2 linked regions of the Sus scrofa genome follow. The protein of the gene in region 2 purifies or fractionates together with the protein of the main gene of each other region. This does not show direct contact. Links are inferred from orthologs where the notes say so. Each region holds a gene or a part of one and is shown on either strand. Other genes may lie near its edges. The genes, in order: INHBA and ACVR2B.

Region 1 (12,095 bases), on a different chromosome or scaffold from region 2:
GCTGAGGTGTTCAGGATCAATTTCTCGTCAGTTCCAGGTCTGACTTAATGATCCTCTGCTGTAAAATCCTGGAATGGAAGCCTTCCCACAATGCTTTTGTGAGCAGGTATAGCATCAGCTTATACAGGTGTGCCCTGCCTTCCTACACGGTGACTTACCTAACTAGATCTAGCCGGGGGCTTTGCTAACCTTTCATTCCCTACTCTCTGATAATATTCTTTTCATCCTCTGTGCTATTTTTTCCCTCCGGAGGCTCGTGAGCAAGGCTTGTATCACAGCCTGCTCTGCCTGAGTAATTCACTAAGAAAGTCCCACGCAAACCCATGTGGGTGATAATATTTCATCACTTAAACCTCTCTTGAGCTCGGTGGACACATATCAAAGGGAGAGGCAAAAAAAAGTGCATAAAAATGGGGAGGAGGGATGTGTCCCTGCACCGCTTAGGGAGCACTGCAGAAAGGTTGCTGGGCGGGAGGCACTGAACGGGACCAGACTCTGTGAACCTGGAAGTAAAACCACCTTGAGAGCCCGGTTGTTCTTCGCCTTCCTGCTTTCAGGATTTTTCAGCTGTGTCGTAACTCCTGGAGGCAGGCATGCCAAGGGTTAAGCAGCCAAGTCCCTGGTTGTTCTCCTCCCCCACACCAGGATACAAAATGCTGCTCCTCATCCCCCTCCCCACGCTCCCCCCCCCCCCCCCCCCCGCATCTCAGTTTCCTGGGCACCTGAACAAGTCAGAGGAAATAAGCAATACTAACAGGCAGGGTTTCGGTTTTGTTTTGTTCTGTTTCCTCACCGTGGTCCTGCTTTAAAGTACGCAGTCCTCCCCTGTGGGTAATTATTACATCCCTGAGGTGGGTCTCTGGGAGAACCGCGCTGTTCAGAAAGAGTTAAACTCACATGGGGGAGGAGGGGAGCCTCCCTGTAAATCTCACCTATGACTTTAATCTTCTATTCTTCACCGAGGTTGCCCTGTGCCTCGCTGTGGAAGGGTCCCTGGTGGGGGAATATAGAGCCACTTTTGACAGCATGTGTGTTCCCTGAGCACGGATTTCGCATTTGGACTGTTAACCAGGGGTTCCGCAAAAAGCAGCCAGTGAGGCCTTAAAGATTCTGCCTCCTTTAGCCTCCATCCAGAGGTCGGTCTTGCCCCCCAGGGCAGAGCTGCAAGTTGGGTTAGAAATGATCTGGATTGATTTTTTTTTCAGCCTTAATATCTTTCCTGACATTTACTGAATTGTAAAGGATCGGCCACAGTCCTGTGCCTTTCATTTAAAGGGTGATGAAAAAAGGTGAAATATTTTCAAGAGAAAGGCATCTTGGGTTCCTGAAAGACGCAGAGAAAATTCTGAGGTGCAACCCACAGACTTTCAGAGCCTTCTTCCAAAGTTCCTGAGAACTTTTACACTTTGGATTTTGGATCTGGGACTCGGGGGGGGCGGGGGGATAGCGTTCCGAACCACAGGAAGACTAGCTGAGAGATCTTGCTGGAGTATATTTTTAGCAGAAGAGAGGCCAAGACAAAGACGGGGCTTTCACGAAAAGAGCTTGGGCAGGGATGCTTTCAGCCTGTCTTCAGACAACACAAGCTCTCCCCCGACCCTCCCCGCACTCCCACTCCCGCACTCCTCCCTCACAGGCCCAAACCACGAATCGAATCCATCTCTCTCAGCTTTTCTCCACCACTGCTCTCCACGCCCTCCGCTCAGAAACGAACACATCTTCCCAAGCCCTACACTCTGCTGCCTTAAATCCACAGACTTTCTCCTCCCAGTCTGAAGTCACTTGTCATGTGTCACTGGTTGAAAAACCTGTTGATAAGACTGACTGACCTAGGCAACCCAATCAGGGGAGACAGAAGATGGGGTTTTTGGTAAAAGCCCAGGCGGCCGTATTCGGGAGAGATGTGTGAGCAGCTCAGTATTGCTGATGACTCAGGGCCACATTTCTCCCGCTCTGCTTTGTTTGCTTCTGAAATGTATCATTCCAGAGAGCTCCAGAATGTTCACATGTATCAATAACTAGAATTCCCATTTCCCCTCCTTCGGTCTCATTTCACGTGTTACAGGTAAGTCACGTCCTTCCCATCCCATAACAAGCCTAACTTTTCCCAGAGGATGAGAGGAAGGAGCCGGGGAACTGATAATCCCTGAGATTAGGGCGCTACAGCCTGGGGCTTCCAGTAGGTGAAATTGTGTTTCCCTAGAAGATTAACAGATAAGGAGCAAAAGTCTTTGGAAGGCGCCCTCTTGTGGCCAATCACGCCCCACTATTCAGAGGAGAAAGTGTGTAACCCCTAAAGACACCTTCCAGGGAGGGTGAATTCCCAGGCAAGTTCAGGAGACTGCCAGGGGGTGACGGGAGTCCATTCCTCTTTGAGCTGGCCTTCTTGGGGTGGAGGAAAACTCATCCCAGCCAGCTGCTTCCAGCCCCTGTTCGGGAACATTTGTGACCATTTCTAATGCAAATCTTCTGTAACTAGGATCTTCCAGGGGAGGCGGTGTACACGCTGCTTTCAACCACCCTTGGGCTATGTCAGTGTTTTCTGTTTCTCGGTGTTTGATTTGCCTTCCTTTCCTAGCCTTTCTTCAGCAAGTGCTGTCACTGCTAACTTAACGACCAGAATCGGTGTATAAACTTGGCATCACAGAGAGTCAAGGATACATGTTATTGTACTTTGCCGGCTGTTGTCACTAATGCAAAGGAGATAAAACAGGATACAGTGGTCGCGAAAACCACTGACTTTAGCTTTCGTGACAATGACGGGGACAGTTGCCTTAGCTCTGCCCATCCCTTCCTCCTTTCTTTTGAGATTTTCAAGAACACAGTAGACGATTCTGCTGCCAGCCTTGCCAAGAGTGCAGTGACCTCAGTGAGCAATGCTGGGTGACAGATATGATGAGAAAAAGCATTTTTGTTTGTGGGAATATGTTCCAGAGAGCCCGAGGGCCACTCCTTGCCTCTTACTCCATAACCTCTCAGCTTTACCAGGACGAGGCCTTGGGCACCTGAGCACAGTGAGACTGACTCAGTTCAAAGACCTCTGGGCACGTGAGGTGCTGTCATCTTTCAACTGCCAGGTGGCCCTGTCTCGGCCTGTTTGGTCGTGGAGCGTGGAGGCAACAACTGAACGCGAATCCCCAGCTGAGGAAACCTGAGACCGAGGGGGGCCTCTGTAGGCGTGTGACCCTCACGCAGGCCACACTTACTGACTGCATCCTACGCGGTACAGAATCGCTTCTGAAGAAAAGGACAGTGAGTGCTCTCTGCTGCTCTCAAAAATCTTGACTTCTGACTTTGGCCGAGTGTTGCTCAGGTTGACTTAGTCATAGCAGTAGAGCAATGAGACATGTTTGTATTTTCACTACCGTCACCCCGATGTTAAATCTCTTTCTTGGTTTAGCATAGAAGCGCCCACAGACACGGTACTACTCTCTTCCGGGAGAGGAGACCGTCCGTAGGGCAGTCACTCTGGGGAACTCGTACTAAATCGGCCCGAGGCAAAACCTCTGCAATGAGCAAACTGAGCAAGGAGAATCAAATCTTTGCTGAGGATCCAGCAGCTCAGCCCGAGTCTGGGTGTAAAACGCAAACGGGAGGAGTTTCCATTACAGACCCTCAACTTTAGTCAATGTGCGAATCAAATGAATCCACCTTTTCAAAAAGCAGCTCAATTTCTTTCCAACCAAACACCTACCAGAGGAGTTTAAAAAAAAAAGGACAAGACTGAGGGAAAGACTGGCATGAGACGAGGCCATACGTGAGAAAGAATGGGAAAGGTCAGATTCTTCCATGGCAAAATTCTCAATGCCAAGGGAGCGAGTGATTCGCTATCCGAGTCAAAGTCAGATCCGGGGGCCCAGTGCTGGTATCAGGGATAGAATTCAAAGGGGCCAGGGGCATAAGTCTACTTAGTCATATGATGTGGGTAAAGCCAGTTGAGGAAGAGCTGCAATTAAGGCCGTGCTGTGTGGCAACTGGTGTATAAAAACCTGTACAGGGTCCCTTTGTGGCAAGAGTGGGAACAGCCCCCCAACCACTGGAATCCACTTGCTGCTCAGGACCCCGGCAAAGACTGAGCAAATCTGGGTAGCCACTCGAAAGCTCCACCCTGCCTTTCCCCTCCATACGCTTCAAAAGATAAAGTCAAAAGTATCAGGGCCTTTGGGGCTTCATTAAAAAAAAAAAAAAAAAAAAGGTTTAGAGGAAGAAAGTAGTCAGACCTTTCTCGAAAGGAAAGAAGCTTCTGGTGAGACAGCTAGAACCGCCCTTAGGACATCAGGGCTTTGCCGAGGAGGAGAAGCCAGCAAGCCAGCAGGCTATCTGCTCCCTTCAAGAGGATGCCCAGGTCTCGCACGGTTTTCTTGAGCACATAACATCTGAGTCAACAGGTTTTCAGGATTGGAAATTCTGAGTGTTGCCTTAATTGTTTATACTGCTGCGGCAAACTTTTAAACAGCAATGCTGGGAGTCCCGGCACACACTTTACTGGCCATATGCTCTACCAAACAAAACAATGGCATTCCTTTCAAATGGATTTGGCAAGGGATACCATTCTGTAGCCTGGCATTACCATGAAAGTAACATGGAATTAACACATCTGTGTGCCTGGACTTGCCCAGCTTGTAGGCAGGCAAAAGGATCCGGGTCACATAACTGTAAAAATGACCTGGCCCCGGGTCTCCAGCCCTCCCGCTTGACAGGTATTTTTTTCTTCAGCAACAGGTTCGTGTGGTCCTGAGCCAACGATTAGAATCTATTTATTAAAGTTCTTCCTCTTAAGGATTGAGTGAGAGCTCCGTGTAGTATCTGGAGCACTTTGTCAAGGTTGCATTCCTTGGCAGAGAGCTCTTAGTAACTTTACAGAGAACAAAACTCTTTCTTTTCCTTTTTTTTTTTTTTTTTTTTTTTGGTTCCGAGAGCAAAAGTCAGTGTTCCAAAAAGCAACTGCCTGCCGGTTCAATGTCATGTGCCCCCACCCCCACCCCCACCCCCACCCCCACGTCGCTCTCGCTCGTCCCTGCCTAAAACGTGATGCCTGTGCTCCTTCGAAGCCGAGTTGCCAAAGGTAAACACGACTGTCACTAATGCAGATGCCCCGCTTCTGGAAGGTGGCCCCTGATTGGACTTTTAAAGAAAAAGGGCTGCTTGGGCGACAAGGACTTCCTCCGTGCCCTTCCACCCCAATCCCGCGCTCGCCGCCCCCTCCCCCGCCCCCGGGTAGAAACTTCGGATGGGGTCCGGAAGCCTCCCGCCCCCCCCAGCCCCCCGAAACTGCCCGGCTTTCCTCTCGCCGCCCTGCTCTGCTCTCCCGGGCAGGGCAAGGGAGCCTCTCTCCCGCCGGCTTCCTGCTCCGGGATCGGCCGAGCGCTTCCTCGGCGCGACCGGCCGAGCGGAGCAAGTGTACGCCGACCCCCTCCCTGCCGCCGCCGGCCGGGGCTCTGCCTGGGCTCCCGGCTCCGGGAGGTTCCCTCCCGGTCCGCCCCTGGTCGCCCCCCGGCCGGCCCGCTCCCGCGCCCGGCGAACGCACGACCTTCCCGGGCGGGTGCAGCTGGAGGGCGGCAGGTTCCCCCCGCGCGGTCGGAGACCCGTGCCCCCCACCCCGCCCCCCAGGCCAGCACCCACCTGCTTCCGCGAAGGTGATGATCTCCGAGGTCTGCTCCATGAGTTCATTCATTTCCGCCCTCCTCCCGATGTCGTCCTCCAGCTCCACGTACCCGTTCTCCCCCACTTTGCCCACATGAAGCTTTCTGATCGCGTTCAGAAGCGCCGCCTTGGGTACCGGCTGGGTGACATCGGGTCTCTTCTTCAAGTGCAGCATGTTTAAAATGTGCTTCTTGACGGCTTCCACCATCTCCGGCTGAGAGTTGGGTACATCCTTTGGGAGGGTGGCCAGCGCACAGGACGGGCAGTCCGGGGCTGCGCTGTGCCCCCCGGATCCTGGGGTGGGGGAACTCCTCACTATAATCCAGCAACTCGCCAACAAAAATCCTCTCAGCCAAAGCAAGGGCATCCTGGCAGCCAAAGTTGTGGTGACGGCCCTTTTAAAAGGCTCCGCTCTTCCTCCCCCTCACGCACGGGTTTTTTTTTTTTTTTTTTTTTTTTTTTTTTTTTTTTGCTTTTTTTTTTTTCTCTCTCTCTTTCCTTTTTGGGGTTTTGGTGTGTGTGTGTGTGTTTTGGTTGGTTTGTTTGTTTGTTTTTGTTTGTTTGTTTCCTGTCTCCTCTTCAGTCAATTCTCTGGAACAAGAACAAAAAGTTTGCTGTGAAGTTTGTTTGCAGGTTCCCTCTCTGGATGCAGTCGGGGCTGTAGGTTTGTGGCTGTCAGGGAGGAGAGTAAGAGAGAGGGAGGGAGGGAGGGAGGGAGGGGGGAGAGACGGGGGGGGGGAGACAGAGACAGAGAGAGGATGGGAGGGAAGAGAGACGGGGAGGGAGGGGGGGGGAGAGGGGGAGAGAGGGAGCGATTGGCCCCGAGTGAGTGAGTGAATGGGAGAGGGAGGGAGCCGCGCTGCGAGTAAAGGCTGAGATTAGGAAGGGGAGGGACCGCCCGCTCTGACGGGCTGCTCGCCTGCTGCTCGCGGCTCCCTCGCACACACCTCTCTGCACACACCACCCGCCGCCCGAGGTCTGCTTCCCCTCCGCGAGGAAACGCTCCTGATTTTGGGCCACTTCTCCTTTCCCTCCCTTGCTTTCTCTGCCCAGTCCCCTTGCTTCACCTTCTTCCTCTTTTTTTTTTTTTTTTTTTTGGCGGGGGGGGGGGGAAGCAAAGCCCAGACACAGACGCCCTATCTCAATCAATCCACCGAGAGGACCCGCCGGAACCAGCCTGGCCCAGCGCCCCTCCACCTGCCGAGCCACCGACTCAGGGGTTCGGACACCCCCGGCGGGAAGGTGGGGTTCAGGGTCCCCGGAGGGGGCGGACAGGTGATGGAGGGCTTGGGAAGAGGGGCCAGCCCATCCTCCTGGGCTGAGGGAATCCTGCAGAGCGCCCCCCCCCGCCCCCCTCCCCCGCCCTTCATTCATAGTTCAGTGTTCAGGGCCGTCCACGCTGGCGGGCGATCAGAGATCAGAGAACTTTTGTTTGGGGTCATGTCACAGACTCTACTTTTCCCCAAATGCAAAAATGCAGCCGGGCATTGGAAGATCCACAGGCAGGCGGGCTGGCAGGCAGCGTGGTCCACGCTCCTGTCATGTGCAGCTCTGCACCCTCTCTTAGCCGTGCCCCTTCTGCCCTGCACACACACGCACAGATGACAGCTTACCACCGCTGGCCCTGACTGACTGCACAGATAAAACGCACAAGTCAGTTGGCCTTTCCCACATTATTTTATATAAAGAGTGCGCTCCCGTGACTTGAATAACTGGTCCTAGGGGGAAAGAATCGCTAAAATATATGGGCAAATGACTTTCTCTGTCATGTGGTAGTTTGTTCAGCCTGGCCCCTACCCCCATCCCCATTCCAGACCAGTCTGCTCATGGACTGGCCCCCTGACGGCTTCTTTTTCTCTCCAAGGAACAGCACAAGATGAAATCATCACGGATTTCAGTGTTCACAGCAAAAAGAAAAATGTGAATGTTTAAACAATGCCTCTCTGAGTTTTTTTTAATTCTCTCCCCCCCTTTTTTTTCATTTTCTGTCTTATTGCTTTTATCTTGCAGAAGTATCTTTAAGAGGTCCATCTGTTAAAGCTTTCCCTCCCTCTCGGTTTCTTTCCCACACATAAGCCCTCTCAGTTTCTGTAGATACAGTCGGCTTATATCTGACACCTAGTGTGTTCAGAGCATTACAGTTAAGCAATGCATTTTGGGTGGGAAAAGTTAATAAATACCCTTATTTACAAGCATCCCCTCTGAAGGCAAGGGGATGCGGGTGAGACAAGTGTGATGCTGAGTTAAAATTACAGCTCGCACAGGTAAGGATGCTTCTCTTAATTGGATACCCTGTCCCCCTTTTCTAAAGCAACTGACTGCAGCAATCCCTCTGTTACCAGCCACCTTTGGGATTTTACCTCCAGAAACGTCAATTCCTCTGCTATTATTGTGAAGACTTTGTCAACATTCCCTAAAGAGTCTAATTTAGTTTCTTAGTGGGGGATGGCGAAAGAGAATGGGGAAGGGGGGGGGCATCTGTGTCAATAATTGCTTAATAAAACATCTTTGAAATAGATTACTTAACATAATCTACCTATTTGGCGTCACACAGACAGTGCCCAAAGCTTTTGTAGTCCAATTAAGTTTTACAAGAGACTCTGAAATAGAACTAAAAGTTGAATGGCTCCAAACAAGTTGAGAGCCCTCATCCAGCTTCACCGAGCTAAGTGCAACTGATCACTATTTAGATTCTCCCTGTATTTGAGTTTGTGTGCGTTCCCCGAATCTTCTGTTTGTGAAGGTAACTTAAAAATGAGCCTTCTCCTGGCACAGGTACTCGCAAGGAGGTGCTGACTGGGTTGGAGAAACACATACTCGCTTTGCATGCTCTGCTATTAAAAGCTGTTTTAACTCGCTGGAAGACCTACAAAGGCACAGATCATCAAATATGCATGGAAATGCCAATAAGTTGTAAAAATTCCTGCTCACCCTTCTGGCTAGGCACGTGTAAAGAGCACAGCAGTAAGCATTAAAAAGCATTACCTTTCCGGTCCTCTCTCTTTCACCAGCAGACTCTTGTATCATGTGGCAAGTGCCTTCGGAGTTCCTCTTCATGGCATTGGCACTGAGAATTTTTATACTGTACTACTTATTTGTACAGTCACACATTGGTACCAGTCAAGCAGGGAGGGCTGGGGCTTTGTTTGGGATTGGTTGGAAGCAGAATGACATCAGCAGATGACTGGTTTTTCCAGTGTGAGACATATTTCATAACTCATTATCTAATGGAAAGCCTTTCTCGGCTGCTGTGACACTCCTGGGTGATCACGGAGCCAGGGAAACCTCTGACTGACTAGACGACCCTTTAGAAAAATCCTGCAACCCAACAGCGAGCGCTCACTGAGGGACCAGCTTTCAACTTTGACCACTCGCACATCAAGCACGTCAGTTTCTCCCTCTTGTCAGGCTCAGTTCTGTGTCTTCCCATAAAACTTCTCCATGAAGTTGCCTCTATTGACAAAGTATTTTATTGTTGCTGACAGGGGAAAAAAATTCGCAGGGCTCTCCCTACAGGTTCTGATTTTCCTTTTTGAAATAAGCTATTTCGTGGAGGAAAAAATAGGAAACGATGTATATCTCTGAGGGATGATCTCCGCCCCCAGCCCACTTGCACTATTACTTTACATCTTGAAACTGAATGCCGGCTTCATAAATCATTTATCACTAAGAACTTTGGAAACAGTCATTCTCTGCTGGTGAACCTTCTAAGTGTCTTTCCCAAGTCTTTAGAATCCCAAACTAACTAGTAAAAAAAAAAACAAACAACAAACAAAAATACAAAAAAAAAAAAAAACCAAAAAACTCATACATCATTCTTCTTTATCAGAACTTCAAGTCCTATGATTTCTAAATTGTTACAAAGAGAACATGAGATTAATGGAAAGAAGTGAACATTTCCTGAAAGAGGAGTTAAGTTGGTCACGATGTTTTGGGGACGGAGGGGGGAGTGTTAGCAAGTCAGGGGAAAAAAAAAAAAACAGGAGGAAAGATGCCTCAGACATAAAAATGGAAGGCTTGTTTGAAGGAGTCTAGCTGAAGCACAAGCCGGGTACTCATGACAAGTTGAATAAAATGTGCAAAATTGGGAGCTAATGAAAGCCATATGACAAGATACGTTATTGTGGATGCAGGATTTAACATGCATAAAATAAACTTTTCACTGTGCCCACAAGCAAAATATAGAGGCTCTGGCCTCCTGATGGGTAGTTTAGGCCCCTTTCTTTGGGCCACCAGAAGTCTGCAGAAGCGGGCCTGCCTTGGCTAAACACAGAGAAAGTGTGAGGTCAGAGCCATAAATGGGGGTTGGGGCAGGGAGTATTCTAAGAATTGCATATGCAGAAATGAAGTCAAAAATAAAAATCATTAGGTTGTAGAGGAACAGAGGGAATCTGAGAAGGAAAGACAGAAACAGGATCAGTGCTGGTTAAACTCCTACCCTGCCCCTCAGTCTGGAACTGGAAGGACCCAAGCTCTCTGCAAGAAAGGAGCTCCCTTACCCTTTTTAAATGAGCTCTCCGGGAGAGCAGCGGTCTGAGGGGCATCTAAACTCCCCCCTGCCCCCCCCCCCAACCCCGGGTGGCGTTCTGGAAACGCCACCGGGTTTATGAGTCTGGGGGCACAAACCCACCCGGAGGAGACCCCGGATGCTGCTACTTACTACCAGATAACCTCAGTGTCTCTAAAGTGGGCTCCACAATAACTCCCCTGCGGGGTCAAAAGCACGTGCTCCGAAAAACAGGAGGCGATATGATTTCCGAGATGCCCAGTGGGCGCCTCTCTCTGAACATCTGTGTCACAGGAAATCTGCAGCACCCCAGAGGAGCCACCCAATCTCTGTGACTCAGATCGCGTTGGCCACGGATGCCATCGAAGTGCCCACCTGCCTGGGTCAGCCCACCAGCTGTGACGTCATTCTCTACCTGAATCCCCAACCTCCGGGCTCAGCCCCGCGGGAGATGCCTCCTCGCTCAGAGGAAGACGAAGGTGGGGGGTGGGAGGGGGTGGGAGGGGGTGGGGGAGGAAGCAGGCAGGTTCAAATAACTTCGCTCCACTCTTTCGGGACCGGGGGTGATTTTTTCCCTGCCGGACTCCGGGGCCCAGGGCTGAGCTGGGCAGCCCGGCTCCCGACCAGCATCTCCTGTTCCTTGCTCGGGTCGGTTTCTCTTTCACTTCCTGCCCCTCCCCCCGCAGCTCCCCCCTCCCCGGCCTGCGGGCCCGCTGCTCGGCCTGCTACTGTACCTTGAGCAACACCTGCTGGCAGCTCCCGGGGATCACGCCGGATCGCGGCCGCTGCTCGAGCCCGGCTCGCGGGGCTGGAGTCACGGCCAAGCCGGGCGGAGCGGCCGCCTCTATTTTTACCCCGAGCACCCGCAAGGGCAACTTCTTTTAAGAGCAGCTCTTGATTTTTCCCCCCTTTTGGCAGCTAGAGAATTCAGAGAAGGGGGGGAGGTGGGGGGCGGGGGGGGGGGGGAGAAGCACTGATCGGGGAGTGCAGCTGGCAATCTCTGAACCCAGCCCTCGGTGGCAGGGCTTCAAAGCGCAGCCAATGCCAGGGACCAGGACGGGGACCTGAGGGCCGGCTCCGGGGCGGACAGAGGCGCGCGGGGAGCGCTACCGCCCCTCCAGCTCTGTCCCTTTTCCGATCGCTGAGCTGGGTCCTGCCGGGTCCTGCCGGCTCCTGCGCTAGCACGGTGGCCCGCTGCCACCGCGTTTTTCACCTAGTGCGGGCGGCCTGATTTACTGGCTACTTCAACAAAGCGCCCGGCTCCTCGCTCGCCGGAGCCTTCTGCAGGGCTCTGTTCTCGCCTGGAAGGAGCGGCCCCTGGAGAACCCAGGGAGGGGGGGAGCAGCTTGTTTCGAGGAGCCGGGAGGGAAAGTGTGGTACCTTATTTTACTGTAATTGCAAAAGGCACGATGTGCCAGAGATGTATATTTAGACGTTGTATGTTTCTACTTTTATGTAAATGGAGCAATTAGGGCCTGTCTTGCTGCTGCGAACTCCAGGGCTTGTGCCTTGCTGGGAAAGCTAGTGTTTTCAATCACAATTAGTGAGCTGGTCAAAAAACAAAGTTCGTTTAAGGATACAGGCCGGATGGCCTGAGCTGGGGGAGAGACCCGTGACCCTGTGCTGCCCTGTGGCCCTCAGCGACACACTTCTTGGGGGCACGGGCCACCTCTAGCCGTGTTTACTCCGTGGCAGCAGCTGTCCCTGCACAAAGTTGGCATAGATCAGGGAGCAAGAATGTTCATTTTTCTTCTCAAGCAAACCGTCTGTCCTTCGGCTTCCATCCATGCTATTAATTGGTCTCTTTGCTCACTACTCCTGGAACAAGGAGACAGGCCCAGAAAAGGGGCTCGTTTGTCATGGCCCTGTTGTTTTAGCTGCTGCTCACGCTTTGCCGTTACTCAGTTAAAAAAAATAATAATAGTAATACACATCAGGAGGCGTG
Region 2 (11,995 bases):
CTAGGGGTTGAATCGGAGCCACAGCTGCCAGCCTACACCACAGCCACATCAGATCCGAGCCACGTCTGTGACCTACACTTCAGCTTACGGCAATGCCGGATCCTTAACCCACTGAGTGAGGCCAGGGATCGAACCCACAACCTCATGGTTCTTAGTCGGATTCTTTCCGCTGTGCCACAGAGGGAACTCCTGTTAGCTGATCTTTTAGCAATGCCATCCTGTCTGTTTTTCATGAGTGCATTGCCTTTGATCTCTGAGGATACTGATACAGTTTTCAAAGTCATCTTCTTCCTGCATAATCTTTGTCTTCTCCAAGTTTTATTGTGTTTTGTTTTTTCTCCTGTCTTTTTTTTATCTTTGTCTTTTAGGTACGTAGCTTCCCTAGGCCTCTTGTATTGAAGGATGGATCTGAATACTGATTGAAATCTCTGCCCACTGTAGGATGATTGGAATAGGTTGTTTTTGAATCTAGCCAGATTCTCCTGAAAAGTATCTTCAGTTTTCTGTTTAGGAGTGGGGTGGGGTCTAGGCCTGACTGCCAGCATCCTGGCAACCACAGAGAGAAGAGAGCTGGGGGTATCTGTATTTAGTATATTATGTGTTGTTCTTATTTCAGTATGGTACCTGTACCCTGAAATTTGCCTACTCCTCCATCTTCTGAGGCTCTCTATTTGTGTGTGTGTGTGGGCGGGGGATTCCTATGCATGTGAAATTTCCTGGGTCAAGGACTGAACCCTTGCCACAACAGCAGCTCTGCTGCAGTGACAAGGTGGGATCCTTAACCCACTGCACCAGAACAGAAGGGACTTTCCTGAGGCTATTTTATCTTTGGAAAATTACCGGCTGTGGAGTTTCTGTCGTGGCTCAGTGGAAATGAATTTGACTAGTATCCACAAGGATGCAGTTTTGATCTCTGGCCTTGCTCAGTGGGTTAAGGATCTGGCGTTGCTGTGAGCTGTGGTGTAGGTCGAAGACATAGCTCAGATCTAGTGTTGCTGTGGCTGTAGGGTAGGCTAGCTGCCGTAGCTTTGATTCGACCCCTAGCCTGGGAACTTCCATTTGCCATGGGTGCAGCTCTGAAAAGCAAAAAACCCCAGCTGTCTGCAGGGCTAGGGATGGGCAGCCCCCAGCCATGGGAAGTGATAGTGAGATCTGAGGTTCTGACTGTCCCTTACCAACCAACCCATCTATCTTTGGACTTATCTCTGCCCCATTTCCAGATACATCTGGTGCCACAAATTCCCGAGTTTGGGAAGGTTCTGTGGTAGAAATCATGTTGCTTCTCAGCTTTCTCCACAATTTAGGAGTCTGTAGTCATTGACTACTTGTGTATTTGCTTTCCAACTTTAGAACTTCATTTCTGTGGTTCTTTTATTTCTAATTTTTTTTAAAAGTTATTTTTTAAGTTTTAAAAATTTAAAATTTCTGGCCACACTCATGGCATGCAGAAGTTCCCAGGCCAGGGATCGAACCTGAGCCACAGCAATAACCTGAGCCAGTGCTGTGACAGTGGGTATTTAACCTGCTGAGCCACATAGGAATTCCTCTGTGGTTCTTTCCTGTTCTGTTCTTCTTCCTTTTTTTTTTTTTTTCCTTTTGGCTGCTTCAAGGCATATGGAATTCTCTGGCCAGGGTTCAGATCCAAGCTGCAGTTGTGACTTAAGCTGCAGCTGTGGCAGTGCCAGTTCCTTAACCCACTGTGCCAGAATGGGGATTGAACCTGCACCCCAGGGCTCCCTAGATGCTGCTGATCCTGTTGTGCCACAGCAAAAACTCCTTTTCCTGTTCTTTTTGTCCTATGGGTTTATGCCTTAAAAATCTTCTTTGCTGTGGTTTTAGTGGAATTACAGAAGGGGGCAAAAGTAATATCTGTCTCTCCTTGACCTTTACGGAAGCTCTCTCATCAGTGTTCTTCAGGAAAAATGGGCCCTGGAGAAAGGCAAGTGTTTCAGTGAGTGGCCTTGGACGCATACCTTGTTCTATGGGAGAATGGTGCCAGGGACTTGTTTATAGAGTTGAGGTTGGAAGTGACTTGAGGTGACCTAGCTTGATTCTTTGTTCCTAGGCCCAACTTCTGGAGGCAGATAGAGTTCCTCTTGTCACCCTTGGAAATTGCTCCTGAACTCCCATTTCTGGCAGTAATAGTCATCAAAATAGCTGAAAAACCTCCTTATACAAGATAATGGAAATGTTGGATAAAGTATAACAGATATCCTTTTAAAATGCATATGCATAATTGCATGTGTAAAAAAGTAAGGGAGAAGCAAGCTTGGGCTGGAATCTAGAGCTCTACCCCTTCACTGGCTAAAGCTGCTTATTCCCAGGGGACTTTGCCTCTCCATAATTTAGAGATGTGGGTTTAGTAGCAGTGTGTGAGGCATAGGAGATAAGATGTGGAATTGAGACTGAGGCTCACATGATAAGACCTGCACAGGGTTGTACATTCATTGAAAGTATGGACTAGAGGAAACCTTTTGCTGATAAGGGGATAGATAATGAATTTTTTTTTTTTTTTTTTTGCCTGTGTTGATGGAGGGTGGGTAGTTTCTCTTGAGCATTTGTAGCTATAGATATGTGCTTCCATGAGCTTGGAGTTGAGGTTGGTACCATCTGTGTTTCCTGGGAAACTGGAAGTTGAGAAATTAAAATGACTCCAGATTGGTAATGTCCTAGAAGATTTGGCAGAAGCAAAAATATAAATTATCTCTGGAAGCTTGCCCCTCAAAATCTTGGCCTCACTTTTTATTCCCACAGAAAAGGCCCCCACTGAACATAAGCTCTGAATCCAAAAACAGAATCCAAAATTCCAAAACACACAGGGAAACAAGAGACCACGAGTGAAAAATCATCAGAAGTAACAAGTGGCAGAAATAAATATTCAAGAAGTTAAATTATGGAATTACTAGATAAGGATTTAAAAGTATGACAAAGATCAAAGTTATCAAAATTGACCAAGAAGATTTTTTCTTTAATAGAATTTCTAGAAATGAAGAAGTAGAGTAATTGCATTTATAAATTAAGTAGAACTAAACTGCAAATTAGACCGAGCTAAAAAGAGAATTAATGAGTTGAAGTTAAACCTATGGAATTATCTGTAATGCTGCTTAGACACAGAATTGAAAAATATGAAAGCAGAGTTGAGATTGGGGATGGCCTGATATTTGTAAGAGGAATTTTAGAATTAAAGAACAGGAGAGATGCAATATTCCGGTTGATAAAAGCCACAAATTTTTCAGAATTGATGAAAGACATGAATCATCAGATTTAAAGCATACTCTTCTAAGCAGTGTAAATAAATTTCACCGTAGACACAAAGCCCATCAGTGACACTTTAAGAAGTAGATGTGAGGAGTTCCTGTCATGGCTCAGTGGTTAATGAATCCGACTGAGAACCATGAGGTTGCGGGTTCGATCCCTGGCCTTGCTCAGTGGGTTAAGGATCCAGCATTGCCGTGAGCTGTGGTGTAGGTCGCAGATGCGGCTCGGATCCCGCGTTGCTGTGGCTCTGGCATAGGCCGGTGGCTACTGCTCCGATTCGACCCCTAGCCTGGGAACCTCCATATGCTGAGGAAGTGGCCCAAGAAATGGCAAAAAGACAAAAAAAAAAAAAAAAAAAAAAAAGAAAAAAGAAAAGGAAAAGAAATAGATGTGAGAAATCAGCCAGAGGGAAAAGACAGAGTATCTACAAATTTAAACTAATAGATGTTTCAGCACTAATGATGGAAGCCAGATAATATTTTCGCTGAAAGAAAATAACTCAGCCTAAAAGTTTATGTTCTAAACTGTCAAGTTACGAAAAAGAACAAAATAACATTTTCAGAAAGGCTAACAAAGGCAACTCTACCGAAAGATCTTTACTGAAGGAAGGTGTTCTTTGGGAAGAACAGTGGTCCTAGAGAAAGAGCAGAGATGCAGAACGGATGGTGAGCAGATAGGTTGGTGAATGTATGGACAGACAAGAAAATGCTGATTGTATCAGATATCTGCTCTGGGAGGCAGGTAAGAAGAACAACAGCCAATTAAATACTGAACACACACGTTATATTAAATTAATTAAATGTAAGTTGGAAGGAGGTAATTGGAGATTAGAACCATTAAGTTCCTATGAGGAATGTGAGAGATGGTGATTATTTTTAGGCTGTTAGCATAAGTATACATATTAGGATTTAAAGGTTAGACTAGAATAGAATAGAAATAGGGTTCATTATTTCCAGACCAGAAGTGGCTGAAATGTGGAATTAAAAAAGATAATCCTGGTACAGTGGATTAAGTATTGGATGTTGTCACTGCTGTAGCATGGGTTCAGTCTGGTCTGGGAACTCCTGCATGCCAGGGATAACCTAAGGGTGGCAGTAGTAGAGAAAAAGCAAATTTAACCATAGTGTTAATTATAAATATAATGGGACTTAATTCTAGATCAAAGACAGTGTTAGGTTGATTTGAGGGGAAAAGATACAGGAAGATTTAAAATAAAAGTTGGAAGAAGATAAATTGGGAAAATACTAATTACAAGAAGTGTCATATAACATTGAGAATAAAGGCATTACCGAGCAGGAGTTCCCATTGTGGCTCAGCAGAAATGAACCTCACTAGGATCCATGAGGATACAGGTTTGATCCCCTCACTCAGCAGGTTAAGGATCCAGCATTTCCACGGGCTGTGGTGTAGGGTCGCAGACACGTCTTAGATCCGCATTGCTGTGGCTGTGGTGTAGGCTGGCAGCTGCAGCTCTGATTTGACCCCTTGCCTGGGAACCACCATATGCCCTAAAAAGAACCAAAGACAGGGGCATCACAGAACACGTGAAAGGCACGTACTCCAGAGCCAGGCTGCCTGTGTTCAAAACCTGGTTTTGACTCTTAGTAAATAACTTGGATAGAGTTACTATCTTGTGTGAAAGAAATTCAGAGATGAAATAGAGGCACATTTTTAGATTCTTTTCCTGCCTCTTGTCTGTATGTGCCATTCCATGGTCTGTATGTGCACACCTGTGTGTGTGTGTGTGTGTGTGGTGCTAGCCCACGCTCTTGCCTCCATTTCGGTTGTCTGTGGCCCCTACTACACCTGGCCAGCCTCCCTCTGGTCGTGGGAAAGGCAGTGAAGATGCTCCTCTGTGGACTGGGGAACATGGAGTCAGCATCCACATGGAGTTACAGCTCAGATACTGTCGCTGGGAGCCCTCACCTTCAGGACTCCAGGGAGTCCTCTGGTTGAGCCTGCTGGGACAGCAGGTGCTCAGCTAACTTTTGGTTAGCATCTAAAGCAGGGCCTCCCAGGAAGGGAGCGTGGTCACTGTTGCGGGGCAGGCGGTGGCTGCCTCTCTCTTGGCAGACCTGAAGGCTGGACCACGAGGAGAAGGCTGGGCTTGCCTCACTCAGCCTCGGCGGTTCCTGGGAGGGTGCACTGGTGCCAGGGGCCTGAGGGAGTGTGGGGGACACGGGCCTTGAGATGCATCCTGGTCTTGTCACTCTCCAGTGCCTGCAGAGGGAGGTAGGGGCTGCTGAGGGGCCTCCAGGTGCCAAGGGCAGAGTGCAATGACCCACTTGCTGCTGGGGTTTGTAGTACCTCTGGGAGATGTTGGCTGGGCTGGGTGCACCTCCATCCCAGAGTTCGGGGACCCCAGGGGAGGTGTGACTGCTCTAGCTCCAAACCCTCCACCAAGACTCCTTCTCTCTTTCCCCCTCCCCAGTGGATTTCCCTCTTTTCTCACCACTGGAACAAGCCCAGTGCATCCAGGGCTGATTGGCCTGGGAAACAGACCTCAAGTATCACAGCTGGTCCATGTAGCTTCATCCACCTCCTGGAATGTGGGTTCTGAGTGGAACCTGAATATGTTTTTTTGGTGGTGGTGTGTGTCCAGGAGCGGGGTTTCTCTGCTCTGAGGGCTTGGGGAACACTGGGGACTTCTTTCCACCAAGGTGTAGCCCCCTTGGAACTTAAGGACTGCCCATTGGAGACACTGCTGCTTGGATACCTGGTTCCTTTGGAGGCCAGAGGTTGGGTTGGCTGGTGCTTGGGGGTAGAGCCAGCCCCTTGCCCAAGTGTCTTTGGGCGGGGGGGGGGTGCTCAGTTTCCTCTCCTGCAGAAATGGGCAGTGGGCTAAGGTCGGGGGAGCCTGCTGTGCTTGGGGCCCTGGCTCTGTGGGTGTGGGCAGGAGCCCCATGCCTGGTAAAAGGCAGAGGGCCTTGTGGTTGGAGTGTTGCCAGAGGCTATAAATAGCTGAGTGTGTGCAGAAGAGGTATGGGGAGGGGATCCCTCTCCAGTTGGCAGCAGAGCCTGAGCTGGAGGTGGGGGGAGGCATGGTGTCTCCCAGTCTCCCCTGATCCCCCCGGGGCTCTGAATGCAAAGCTCTTGCAGGTGTGGGTGTACACACTGCCAGCTTGATGGGGTGGAGGCTTGTGTTGTGACAAGATGGCATAGGTAGCAGGGAGGGGTCTGGCTCTGATAGAACAGCAGCCGTGCCAGGCATTGTTCCAACCACTCTTTAAGTCATTTCGTTCTTGAAACAGCCAAGGCAGTAAGTACTGTTATCACCCCCTTTTTCACAAGTGGGGACACAGAGGCACAGGGTAGCTGGAGGTGTCAGCACCAGGACTTGAATGCAGTCAAGGCCACCTTTTTCTCACTTAGTCTGTAGGAGGATCTTGTCAGGTGGGGGTCTAATGTCATCCTGGACCCTTCGGTCCTACCTGGAGCCTTGAGGTTTGGGGTTCCCAGCCCTGTCCACATAGATCCTGCCCACAGTAGTGTCCAGAGGGTTCCCTGCCTGGTCATCAGCTTGCAGAGTGGAGCTAGACCAGCTTTGGACCACTCTTGATGTCTAGTGGCCTCTCTTGTTTGGGCTCCTGACGTCACATGTGGGAGCAGGGGCTTGTTGTCTGAGGGGAGATGGAAGCTCCTCTGAGGCTCGGGGGCTTGGCTTATAGGCTGAGGCTGCCCTATTGTCCCCTCCTTTCAAAATCCTGCTCTAGCCAGGAGATAACTATGTCCTTGTGTCCGACCATAGATCCTTCCTTCCGTCCTTCCATCCATCCATCTATTCCGCCTGTGTCCAGAACCAGTTCTAGCACTCGGCAGGCATGGCTTCTGCCTTCATCAACTTTACTGAGGGGAAGGCTGTTTAAAAGACAGTCCTCAAGCACATTTGCTTTGTTTCTTATGTGAGTGTTCATTACATTATTTTCTCCTAGGGATTATTTTTAGTTATATTATTTTTAGACTTCTTGAATGTCTGAAATAATCCTTTAAACAACAACAAGCAACTAGTCAAGGAAGATAAATTGGGTAAATGGAGGATGCAAAAGGCCACAGGGTTGTAGGGGTCCTGGGGACAGTGGGGCAGATTTGGGGGCCGGGACTGGGGGCTCTTTGGGAGGGCATGGTAAGAGGAATGGACTTGGTAAATGTTGGAGGCTGTGTTTGAAGGGGCAGTTGGGCTGAAGTGTTCAGCGACCTGGATGGCCCATGCACAGGGCAGAAGGGGAACGGGAGTGGGTAGGAAGTACCTACAGGGGTCTTGAGGACCAAGCCCAGCTGGGAGGATCCTCTGTTACCCTTGCTCTCCACCAGCCAGCCCCGCTTGGTGCACACATTCCCCCATGGTGATGCTGGGAGCCTTAACCTTCCTGATCCTTTACCACCTTCTCCAGTCCAGCCAGGCGCAGGTGCTGTTTGCTGGGTGCAGAAGGGACCCTGGAGGGTGCTCGTTTCCCATCAGGTCTGGTCAGGGGTGTGTGTTTTGGTGGGGGTCGGGGGACGATGACACACACTAGCATTGTCTCCCTGGAGGACTCTGGTGAGTGTGGGACAAGGCTGAGGCAGCGGCAGGAAGTGCCTTCCTAGTTTCTGAGACAGAAGGGGTGGTTCAAAATGTAGATTAAGGCCCACTCTAGTTGAATGGGTCTGGGCTGGGCCTAGAAATATGCATTTTTAGCAACACTCTCTGCTGCACCCTAATAGTGATTCTGACATGCTTTGGGGTTTGAGGGCCCCTCCATTCACTGCTGCAGGCCCACTCCCACTCAGGGGCCTCAGGAGCCAGTAAAACCCTTCCCTGTGCATCTGGCCGGGGAGTCCAGCCCTGGCCAGCCAGCCTCCCTGACATGGCCTGGGTGGCTCAGCATCTCCCTCCCCCTGGCGCAGGTTCCGGGCGTGGGGAGGCCGAGACACGGGAGTGCATCTACTACAACGCCAACTGGGAGCTGGAGCGCACCAACCAGAGTGGCCTGGAGCGCTGTGAGGGTGAGCAGGACAAGCGGCTACACTGCTACGCCTCCTGGCGCAACAGCTCAGGCACCATTGAGCTTGTGAAGAAGGGCTGCTGGCTAGACGACTTCAACTGCTACGACAGGTAGTCGGTGCCGCCAGGGCCGAGGAGGGGCTCTCCTGGGCCAGCAGGGGTGGTACCGGGTCTCTCTGAGTGCGTGTCCACCCTTGGTTAGCCCTCTTGACTTCCTGCTTTAGGGACGGTGGTTCCCCGTGGGGTTCTCTTTGGGGAGGGGTTTGGCTGGGCTGCCCCGGGGAGTCTGTGCCCCTCAACTGAGGGGCGGATGGGAAACTGTGCCTCCAGGCAGGAGTGTGTGGCCACCGAGGAGAACCCCCAGGTGTACTTCTGCTGCTGTGAAGGCAACTTCTGCAACGAGCGCTTCACCCACCTGCCTGAGGCAGGGGGCCCAGAAGGTGAGGGCCACCGGGGAGGAGACGTGGGCCAGCTGAGGTCCCGGAGCGCTCAGCTCCTGCTGGGTGGGGAGCAGCTGCAGGGCTCTCTGGTCTGGCCCTGGAGGTGTGTGGGTAGGCGGGCTGTGTGACGCCGGGCTCCATGTGTCCCCCAGTCACGTACGAGCCACCCCCGACAGCCCCCACCTTGCTCACTGTGCTGGCCTACTCGCTGCTGCCCATCGGGGGCCTCTCCCTCATAGTCCTGCTGGCCTTCTGGATGTACCGGCATCGCAAGCCCCCCTATGGCCACGTGGACATCCATGAGGTGAGACGGGGCTGGCTTGGGGCAAGGCGGGATAGAGGTGGGGAGGCCAGGCCAGGTCCTATTAAGCCCTTGATCTCTCCAGGACCCTGGACCTCCACCCCCGTCCCCTCTGGTGGGCCTGAAGCCGCTGCAGCTGCTTGAAATCAAGGCTCGGGGGCGCTTCGGCTGTGTCTGGAAAGCGCAGCTCATGAATGATTTTGTGGCTGTCAAGATCTTCCCACTCCAGGTGAGTGTTTGCCACTCCAGGGCAATCCCAGGGCCCATGGGGGTGGAGTGGGGCTAGGGTAGTGCTTTGCAAAGCCGCAGTCTGCTCTGGTTTTCAGGAATTTGTTCTGACATCAGGTTCTGCTTAGAGGCCCTGGACAGCAGGCCACCCTGAGCAGTTGCTCGGGACACTTAGCGACGACAGGCCTGCTCTGCTTCTCATTGATTAGGTGGTCTCTGGACCTCAGTGGCCCCTTGTCAATCAGATGCTGGCCTCAGTGCTCACATCACTATTGGCTTATGGTCCTGGGCCTGGCACAGCTCTGCTTTGCCTCCTTCACCGAAGCTGAGGTGGGGGCAGGGGTGGGGGAGCAGGTGGGGCACTTCTGCAGGGTGGAGTTCAGCTGCTTCCCCGCCTCAGGACAAGCAGTCGTGGCAGAGTGAGCGGGAGATCTTCAGCACGCCCGGCATGAAGCACGAGAACCTGCTACAGTTCATTGCCGCTGAGAAGCGAGGCTCCAACCTGGAGGTGGAGCTGTGGCTCATCACGGCCTTCCACGACAAGGTGAGCCATGCTTGTGGCTCCCGCTCCCACGTAGGTGAACAGGCCCTCCTGTGGCTTTCCATGGCTGTGGATGTGAAGGTGTGCAGTCAGAAACCCTAACCCTGGGATCACTTCTTAGGAATAGTAATGACTTCATGATCACCACCCCCTACAGCGCCTTTCCAACCCCTTGTGGCCTCATCGCTTCCAGCCTATAGCCCACAGAGACAGCCCTCCTGGGCTGGGCTGGGCTGGGTTCTGTCCTGTGCCCAGAGCCTGTGCTGTCTCCTCTAGGGCTCCCTCACAGATTACCTCAAGGGGAACATCATCACGTGGAATGAACTGTGTCATGTGGCAGAGACAATGTCAAGAGGCCTCTCGTACCTACACGAGGACGTGCCCTGGTGCCGTGGCGAGGGCCACAAGCCATCTATTGCCCACAGGTACCTGGGTTAGCAGTTGCCTTCCCTGCGCCTGACTTGGAGTTGCAGAGAGGGTTGGAGGGTGAGAACAGGGCCTGGGGGTCTCAGTTTCATAAACAGGCTTAGCCGCTCTGTGGTGTTTCAGAGGTGACTACACAAAACTCTGGGCCCTCCTGGCCCTTCCTCTGCCTTTCACTGGCATCCTGCAGGCTGACCTTGCAAGTCAGTTTTCTTGTGCCCTCCAGTGGCCACAGGAGGAAGTGCTGACTCTTTTACTTTGGTTGGTGGGTTGGTTTAGCCACTTCTCAAACTTTTTGGTTAGAGTCCCTTTAATTCTTGTGGGTTTTGTTTGTTGATATTTGCTGTATTGGAGCACACATACTGCATTAACTGTCAGAGTGATGACGTGTGTATAGCCTCTGGAAGATTCTATATTCTTAAGAGAACAAGGATTTTCTAAGAAGGCAAATAACAGATTATTATGAAAAGAATGTTGACCTTGCAGATCCCCTGAAATGCCTCAGGGACTCTCTGGGGTCCTTGGCTGATGCTTTAGGAGTCACTTTGTTAATTCCTCATCACAGTGCTCACTAAATGGCAGGCAGTGCTCTGAACACTTAGAAACACCAAGTCATTTAAGCCTCATAACCACCCTGTGAGATAGGTACTGTTTTTCTCACCTCATCATTTTTTTGGCTGCGCCATGCAATGGCTTGGTGTGGGATCTTAGTTCCCAGGCCAGGGCTTAAACCTGAGCCGCAGTGGTGAAAGCGCCAAGTCCTAACCACTAGACCACCAGGAATGCCCTCTGCCCGTGTTAAAAATGAGCTGGGGCGGACCTTGTTCCCCAGATATGGTGGAATGGCCTGGGCTGGGGTCTCTGGGAGTCAGGGTGGGAAGCTAGGAACCAGGTCGATTGGACCACATGTCAGCTCCACTTCAGTCCATTGTCTCCACAGGGACTTTAAAAGCAAGAATGTATTGCTGAAGAGTGACCTTACAGCTGTGCTGGCTGACTTTGGCCTGGCTGTTCGGTTTGAGCCAGGGAAACCTCCGGGGGACACTCATGGGCAGGTAATGGGCCTCAAGGGGTGCAAGATGGGGGCTGGCACTGGGCTGGACCCTGCCCTTCTGGTGCTCACCTGGCAGGGTGCAGGGGCAGGGGTTACCTTGAGAGCTCAGAGCAATGCTGTCATTTCACCAGTGGGGAAAGTGAGGCCTAGAGCGTAGTGTGGCTTCCCGGGCCTATCAGTGAGAAGCAGATTCTTTTTCCTCTTTCCATTCTAACTGTTTTTTTGCCTGCGCCTGTGGCATGTGAAGTTCTTGAGCCAGGGAGCAAACCCATGCCACAGTAGTGACCCAAGCCACTTCCGTGATAACGCCAGATCCTTAACCTGCCGAGCCAGTGGAGAACTCTCAGTTGTAATTATTAAACAAGGTAAAAATAATTATAAATATGGAGTTCCCAGGGTGGCTCAGCAGAAACAAATCTGACTGGTATCCATGAGGCCGCAGACTCCATCCCTGGCCTCACTCAGTGGGATAAGGATCCGGCATTGCTGTGAGCTGTGGTGAAGGTTGCAGATGCGGCTCAGATCTGGCATTGCTGTGGCTCTGGTGTAGGCTGGCAGCTCCAGCTCCAGACCTCTAGGCTGGCAGCCTTCATATGCCATGGGTGTGGCATTAAAAATATGTATTATTATTATAGATAAGAATATACTAAGAATCCAAAACCAAAAACCTACAATAACTAACTAAAGTTAAGCTTAAATCATCCTAGAACAATTGCTATTATTATTTTAAAGTATTCTCCCCTTTTTTTTTTGATGTTAATCTCTGCAA

What was found.
Region 1: the proteins of ACVR2B (region 2) and INHBA purify together in Homo sapiens (affinity purification with western blotting; 3 studies listed by BioGRID and IntAct, with this or other methods). This does not show direct contact. The link is inferred for Sus scrofa from reciprocal best matches to the Homo sapiens genes ACVR2B and INHBA.

Annotation. Positions count from the first base shown.
Region 1 is NC_010460.4:52,883,632-52,895,726, reverse strand, and holds the start of INHBA (inhibin beta A chain precursor), read right to left. Parts: upstream 6,044-12,095; 5' UTR 6,011-6,043; coding exon 5,623-6,010; intron 1-5,622. UniProt on the Homo sapiens protein: Inhibins/activins are involved in regulating a number of diverse functions such as hypothalamic and pituitary hormone secretion, gonadal hormone secretion, germ cell development and maturation, erythroid differentiation, insulin secretion, nerve cell survival, embryonic axial development or bone growth, depending on their subunit composition.
Region 2 is NC_010455.5:23,251,369-23,263,363, forward strand, and holds part of ACVR2B (activin receptor type-2B), read left to right. Parts: intron 1-8,142; coding exon 8,143-8,350; intron 8,351-8,569; coding exon 8,570-8,679; intron 8,680-8,831; coding exon 8,832-8,983; intron 8,984-9,065; coding exon 9,066-9,209; intron 9,210-9,608; coding exon 9,609-9,752; intron 9,753-10,025; coding exon 10,026-10,174; intron 10,175-11,112; coding exon 11,113-11,227; intron 11,228-11,995. UniProt on the Homo sapiens protein: Transmembrane serine/threonine kinase activin type-2 receptor forming an activin receptor complex with activin type-1 serine/threonine kinase receptors (ACVR1, ACVR1B or ACVR1c).